2 linked regions of the Schizosaccharomyces pombe genome follow. Changing the gene in region 1 together with any one later gene gives a genetic interaction. Each region holds a gene or a part of one and is shown in the gene's direction. Other genes may lie near its edges. The genes, in order: ade10 and ate1.

Evidence for each region.
Region 2: mutations in ade10 (region 1) and ate1 together harm fitness less than expected from each alone (positive genetic interaction), as found in Schizosaccharomyces pombe (one large-scale study listed by BioGRID).

Annotation. Positions count from the first base shown.
Region 1 is NC_003421.2:947,725-951,650, reverse strand, and holds the start of ade10 (bifunctional IMP cyclohydrolase/phosphoribosylaminoimidazolecarboxamideformyltransferase), read left to right. Parts: upstream 1-2,004; 5' UTR 2,005-2,061; coding exon 2,062-3,819; 3' UTR 3,820-3,926. Other genes in the region: tRNA (guanine-N7-)-methyltransferase catalytic subunit Trm8, read left to right, coding at 1-458. UniProt on the Schizosaccharomyces pombe protein: Bifunctional enzyme that catalyzes the last two steps of purine biosynthesis.
Region 2 is NC_003424.3:2,076,701-2,080,626, reverse strand, and holds ate1 (arginine-tRNA--protein transferase), read left to right. Parts: upstream 1-1,783; 5' UTR 1,784-1,896; coding exon 1,897-2,013; exon of another isoform or gene 2,014-2,067; coding exon 2,068-2,099; exon of another isoform or gene 2,100-2,140; coding exon 2,141-2,206; exon of another isoform or gene 2,207-2,260; coding exon 2,261-2,784; exon of another isoform or gene 2,785-2,830; coding exon 2,831-2,901; exon of another isoform or gene 2,902-2,942; coding exon 2,943-3,203; exon of another isoform or gene 3,204-3,242; coding exon 3,243-3,347; 3' UTR 3,348-3,520; downstream 3,521-3,926. Other genes in the region: AAA family ATPase Elf1, read left to right, coding at 1-1,353.

The DNA of each region.
Region 1 (3,926 bases):
AAAAGATACAAGCATTGCGTTATCGTGCAGATCATGAAGAGCCGGTTCCAGGGGGATACAAAAACATTTCTGTTCTTCGTATGAATTGCCAAAAGTTCCTTCCAAATTTCTTCGAAAAAGGGCAACTCTCAAAAATGTTTTTCTGCTTTCCAGATCCTCACTTCAAGGCTCGTAAACATAAAAATAGAATTATCACAAGTACTTTGGCAAGTGAGTATGCTTATTTCATTCGACCCCATGGAACGCTTTATACCATTACAGACGTGGAAGAGCTACATGTTTGGATGGCTCAACATCTCGACGCGCATCCCTTGTTTCGACGATTCACAAAAGAAGAAGAAGAAAACGATATATGTGTTACATTGATGACAAACGAAACAGAGGAAGGGAAAAAGGTTGCACGTAATGGCGGAAAGAAATTTGTTGCATGTTATGAGCGCATTCCAAATCCAAAATAACTTAATAATTGGGCTGAATAATATAGGTTTAAAATAACTAAATTAACATTTATCGCTAACATCATTACACTTTCGCATTGACTTACTGTTTAACTACTCATTTACAAAATCCGTACCTATCCTCAAGCTGGCTCCGTAAATAAGAGAGCTCTTTGCAACTATCCTTTTAACTCCATGGCAATATATTATGAATGCTAAATAAAACAAGAAATCTAGTAAATTTGCAAAAGGAGTAATTTTACATGTTAAGTGCCGAATTTTTGGGATTTTGAAATAAAATCAATTTGTACGGTAATATGACCTACAGCTCTCTTAAGTATTTTCAAGATACTATATTATTACTTGCTACATAATACTTCAATAACCTAAATGATCGAAATTTCAATAATTTTTAATGACTATTTGACATTCTTTAACAGTATACTAGGGCAGGGTTGTGACTGTCCAAGGATTATATAAGTAGAAGCTCATAACAAGAGGTGGTTTGTCAATTACAAAACAGAATGTAAGTAATTTCAACTTGAGTTTTAAAACGCTGAAACAATGTTAAAAATATTACTATGATGAGCAATTTGTGTCGCCCCTATCCGAAATCTGTGACGATTGACCCGGAAGCCAAATCCGATCTCTGAATATTTCTATTGTTTCAAGTGCTTTTCCATGAAATCTTATTATTTGAATAATTTACTAACTTTTTTTTACAGATTCTTATAAGCTTGAGCAAAATAAAATTAAATTCTTCTTTTTGACTCTTTAACCGTGTGTGTGTACTTTCATTTTTTTTTTATAAATTGCATCTTTTTGTAACGATTTGTTTTTGAATTTTAATTTGAAAAATGTTCCTTGCTAGTGATGTTTTTCTTTTATATTCTATGCTAATCATGAAATCTAATGATTATACTTTTATTTATAAAGACTGAAGCAAGCAATTTAGTATTTCAAAAATAAACAAGCAAAGAGGTTGTCGTATCTAAAAATTGAATGATTTTACGTGAGTTAGCTCATACGATGAAAGTATTTTTTTCTGTAATATCAGTATTGCATGATTGAGCTGTAGATTTCTGAGAACCAAGAATCAATAGCCGATGGCCGGTTTCATTATCATCTTTGTATATGATTAACACATTAGGATATTAGTAGAAAATGCTCAGACAATGACTGTAAGTGAATTTGGTGATTGACTACATGCACGATTGATCATTGCCTGTTAGGTCTAAAAGAGCAACACTCAAAACAGACTGGCATGTGGATTTAACCGTTGTCACATTCAAACTCCATTTGCAGTCACTATTGCTTCGAACAATACTTGAATTTTTCCATATGAAGTCAAAACATCGACATGAACAAAACTAGTAGCGTAGTCTAACGTATTGAAGAAAATTACCCTATTACATGTAACAGACTCTTCTGTTATCACAAATTCAGACATAATGAGAGACTGTTAGCAAACCTTATAAATTTGTTGGTTTTCGTTATCAATCAATAGCGTGTTTTTGAATAATAAGTTCTTACACTTAAAGTCGTACTTTGGGGTGCAGCAATTTTCAGCTGAACTAACATCTAAAACTTTTAGTTTGGTCGCAAACGGGATTCTTGGATAAAAATGTATGCTTTGTTAAGTGTCTACGATAAAACTGGCTTGTTAGAACTTGCCAAAGCGTTAACAAGCAAAGGCGTTAAGCTTTTGGGCAGTGGTGGTACTGCCAAGATGATCCGTGAGAGTGGAATGGAAGTCGCTGATGTATCTTCGATCACCAATGCTCCTGAGATCTTGGGTGGTCGTGTAAAGACCTTGCATCCTGCTGTCCATGGAGGCATTCTTGCTCGTGATATTCCTTCCGATGAAAAGGATCTCGTTGAACAAAGCATCGAGAAGATCGATATCGTGGTTTGCAATCTTTATCCCTTCCGTGAAACTATTGCCAAGCCTAACGTTACCATTCCTGAAGCTGTTGAGGAAATTGATATTGGTGGAGTTACTTTGTTGCGTGCCGCTGCAAAGAACCACGCTCGTGTAACCATTTTGAGCGATCCCGCTGATTATGCGACTTTCACTGATAAGTTTTTGTCAGACAAACTTACTCAAGATGACAGAAATACTTATGCTTTGAAGGCCTTTGCTTCTACTGCTTCTTACGATGCTGCCATCACTGATTACTTCCGCAAGCAATATGCTGCTGGCGTTGATCAATTGACTCTCCGTTATGGTGCTAATCCCCATCAATCTCCTGCCCAAGCCTTTATGGAACAAGGACCCCTTCCTTTCAAAGTTTTATGTGGTTCCCCTGGCTACATCAATCTTATGGACGCTTTGAACTCTTGGCCTTTGGTCAAAGAGCTTCGTGAAAACATCGGTATTCCTGCCGCTGCTTCCTTTAAGCATGTTTCTCCTGCCGGCGCTGCTGTTGGTCTACCCTTGTCTGATGTTGAAAAGAAGGTATACTTTGTTAGCGACATTACCGAGTTCACTCCTTTGGCTTGTGCTTATGCTAGAGCCCGTGGAGCTGACCGTATGTCTTCCTTTGGTGACTTTATTGCTCTCTCCGATACAGTTGATGTTTGCACTGCTCGTATTATCTCTCGTGAGGTTTCCGATGGTGTTATTGCACCCGGTTACGAGCCCGAAGCCTTGGAGTTGTTGAAGAAGAAGAAGGGTGGTAAATACTGTGTATTGCAAATGGACCCCAAGTATGTTCCCGCCGAAATTGAGACTCGCCAGGTCTACGGTATTAGCTTACAACAGCATCGCAACCATGCCAAGATTGACTTCAGCCTTTTTGAGAAAGTTGTTAGTAAGAACAAGGATTTACCCAAATCTGCTCTTATTGATTTGGTTATTGCTACCACTGCTCTTAAGTATACTCAAAGTAACTCTGTTTGCTATGCTAAGAATGGTATGGTTGTTGGACTTGGTGCTGGTCAACAATCCCGCATTCATTGCAACCGTTTGGCCGGTGATAAGGCTGATAACTGGTGGCTTCGTCATCACCCTAAAGTCTTGGGTATGCAATTTAAGAAGTCTGCTAAGCGTCCTGAGAAATCTAACGCTATTGACTTGTACGTCCTTGATGCCGTTCCTGCTGAAGGTAGTGAACGTGAGCAATGGGAGTCTGCATTCGAGACTATTCCCGAGCCTCTTACTAAAAAGGAGCGGGAGGAATTTTTGGCTACTTGCAAGGATGTTGTCTGTGCCAGTGATGCCTTCTTCCCCTTCCCTGACAACATCTATCGTCTTGCCCAAAGCGGTGTCAAATATGTTGCTGCACCTGGCGGTAGTGTCATGGATCAAGCTGTTCGCGACACTGCTAATGAGTTCAACATGGTCTTTTCCGAGATCCCCTTGCGTTTGTTCCACCATTAATCTTGTTTGTATACCTAATTTTTGACCACTATTACTATGGATATAATTTTTTTTGTTCTGTATATTTGATAGGTTTCCTCAGTTTATACCATCATTTAATAGAGGTA
Region 2 (3,926 bases), on another chromosome or scaffold:
CAAAAGAATATTACTTGCTTGATAGTTTCTCACGACTCTTCATTTTTGGACCACGTGTGTACTGACATCATTCATTATGAAGGTGTTAAAAACCAGGCAAAAAAGCTTGGTTATTATCAAGGTAATCTTTCAGCTTTTGTCAAGGTCAAACCGGAAGCTAAATCATACTATACATTGACAGCCACAAACGAGAAGTTTGTTTTTCCACCTCCCGGTATCTTAACTGGTGTGCGCTCAAACACACGTCTCATATTAAAAATGACAAACGCTTCTTATACATATCCCAACGCGAAGAAGAAGTCATTAGATAATGTTACCGTTGGGTTATCTTTATCTTCTCGTGTTGCCATTTTAGGTCCTAACGGTGCTGGTAAATCAACGCTTATTAAAGTTCTTATCGGTGAAGTAATCCCTCAAGAAGGAAAAGTTTTCAAGCATCCCAACTTGCGTGTGGGTTACGTTGCTCAGCATGCCTTTCATCACTTGGATCAACATCTGGAAAAAACGCCAAGTCAATATATTCAATGGCGTTATGCTGGAGGACAGGACCGCGAAGTTTCAGAGAAGGAATCTCGAAAACTTACCGAAGAAGACCGTGCTCAGCTTCAGCGTGATATTACGGTCAATGGCGAACGTAGAAGAGTGGAAGCTTTGATTGGCCGTCAAAAACTAAAAAAGTCATTTCAATATGAAATTAAATGGTTTGGGAAGCCTCATAAATACAATACGTGGGTGTCTCGAGAAATATTGCTTGAAAATGGGTTTCAAAAGTTTGTACAGGCTTTTGATGATATGGAATCTTCTCGCGAAGGTCTCGGTTTCCGTGAATTGATTCCCGAAGACATCAGGGCACATTTTGAGGATGTGGGCCTTCCTGGCGACATTGCTGATTACAGCCCCATTAGTAGTTTGTCTGGCGGTCAAAAGGTTAAAGTTGTTATTGCTGCGTGTCTCTGGAATAACCCCCAGCTTTTGGTTTTGGACGAACCTACAAACTTTTTGGACAGAGATGCATTAGGTGGTTTAGCTGTTGCTATTCGTGATTGGGAAGGTGGGGTCGTTATGATTTCACATAATGAAGAATTTGTTTCTGCGTTGTGTCCTGAACACTGGCATGTAGAAGCGGGTAAGGTTACCGGTAAGGGCAAGACCGCTGTTGACGATGGAAAGTTTGAAGATCTGTCGGAGAAAGATTTGAAAAAGATTGAGGCTAAAGCTACCAAAAAGAAGAAATTGACGAGAAATGAAATCAAGGCCAAAGAAAGACGTGCTAGAGAGAGAGAATTAGCATGGTTACAATCTCCCAAGGGCACCGAAAAACCCAAATCATTCTTCTCTGATGATGAAGAATAATTTCAGACTAATTTTTTAATTCGCTCTTTGGATTGACAAGTTGAGAGTTGTTTATCCTTTAATTTTCTTTAGACGGTGCTAGTTGTTGAAGTTGGTCTTTTACATATTTACGGTTTACTGATATACCTTTTAGACTTAATTTATATATATAGAACTTGGTGGATGGTATCGTGGATAATATTAATATTAGTCGCTTTTTATATGTTTTGTTTATCGTTAGTGCATGTTATAGTTGTATTAGACGTATACACTTTTGTCATTGACTCTTGTAAAAGGTGTCAAGAGAACTATGTATTTTTTGGGTTTTTTTCTAGATATTCGTATGAAAATGTGATAGACTTTTTAATATGATTAATCAGGAAATTTCTATAAACATGCACTCAACGAAAAATAGGGTACTTAATCTTCAAGAAATAATTGGTGTAGTCTTAGTTCACCTACTCAAAGAGCCTTCAAAATAAAGGCAAAAGAACTGAACTAAGAGTTTTACTACTGATGATATAGTTCATTTAATATTAAACAGGGAAATTTTCAAACAATAGTATGGTATTGGATAAACTGTTGTACACAGGGTACAACGTCAGTACTGAATGTGGTTATTGTAAAAGTGGAAGAAAGACCGAGCATTTTGGTTTATTAGCAGAAAAGCTCAGTTGTGAAGTAAGCGTATAACTCTGCTTTTTGCAAATTTTGCTAACCTACATTTAACCTCAGGACTACCAGCGATTGATTGATTTGGGATGGAGGTAAAAACCTTTATTAGTTAACATTGCTAATATAAAATAAGACGTTCAGGACATTATTTATATAAACCCAACGGGAAAACATCTTGCTGTTCTCTTTATACAATCAGGTACTTAGCATAAGTCGCCAAATATGATTGATTACTAACCGCCGAATGTTGAAGACTCGACAGCTATAATTTTAAAATTGCAAAAGAGCAAAAGAAGGCAATAAAAAAATGGGTCAAATATGTAAATGGAAAGCCATTAAAACCTATGAAAAGCGAAATTAGCACAGATTATTTGAACAATGCCTTTCAAACTATAGAATCGCTCGGAGCTGAAAAATACTCTGTAACTATGGAGCCTTGCACTTACACCGATGAGAAATTTGAAGTCTTCAAAAAGTATCAAATGCAAGTTCATTTAGAGAAAGAAGAGGAAATCACGAAAAAAGGATTTAGCAGGTTTCTTTGCAACTCTCCTTTATTTAATGAAGACAAGGGGATAAAGTATGGTTCTTATCATCAGATGTATCGATTTCAAGGAAGGCTTGTGGCAGTTGGAGTTTTAGACTTGCTACCACATGGTGTTTCTAGCGTTTATCTGTTTTATGATCCTGATATGTCTAAGTTTTCTCTGGGAAGGATTAGTGCCTGCCGTGAAATCTGGCTTGCTCTTGAATGCGGATATCGGTACTACTACATGGGTAGGCTAAAATGTCATTTATTTAATTACGTTGATTGACCTTGCAGGTTATTATATTCACACATGTCCCAAAATGAAGTATAAGGCAACGTATAGTCCATCGTACCTGCTTAATCCCGTACGTATACATTCGATTTTAACTTGAACTAATACAAACAGGGTACAAATAAATGGATACCAATTGAAAACTTTACTTCACTTTGGAATACTGGTGCTCCTAAATATATAAGTTTCGGGGATGAAAATAATAGTGATATTCAAACTGCTGTTGACTACGATTCTTCTGAAGATTCATCTCAAAACGAAGATGATTATACACTGTTTAATCGACAGCTTCCTGGAATTCTTTCAGTAAATGTTGCTGAGTCCTTGGTTTCGGAGAATTTTGCTAACATTGGCAATTCAACTTTCCCCACAAGAGTATGTCTTTATTTTTGAGTAACAATGCTAATTCTTCAGCATGTTTTAAGTTATTTCCCTCAGGTTAAACATTGGTTTGTTGAAATCAATGCTGCTGTGGGCGAAGAAGTCGCAAAGAGTTATACACTTGTTTTATCTAGTTGATATATTATCTGTCTACGTGTTTTATTTGCTTAAGATATGAACATCCTACTTAAAAATCTTAATGAACTCCAGGATGGCTTTGAGAGTAAATTTTACAATGTGACTTACAGAATTAAGTTAATTTTATGCTACTACTTATGTGTGATAGTTTCCTCTTTTATGTCCCTTAATCGAAGTTGATAGCATTTCTAATAATATAAAATACTGCCGGCTTATATATTTATTTTGTAATTATTTATAACTGCACGCTACCTAAAATGTCACCCTAACATAACTTAGTGGGCTTTTCCGTTACGAGTTGTTTGCAACCAAACACAAAAACGGGTTTACCGGTACTTCACGACTTAATATAATCGCAAAACAGTGCATAGTAGGTGAGAAAGGATTTTATCATTTAGAGAAGAGATTTTACTTTAATTGTTCTTCTTTTTTCTTTCTCAAGTGTTACTGCTAGGTTCTCATTCTATAGAGTATTAGCAAACACCAGATTTCGATGACATTTCGTGTCAAAATTGGGTTGACTGCATTTTAAAAATAATTAATCACGGTTGGCTTACAATTCAACTTCTAGGCACTGAT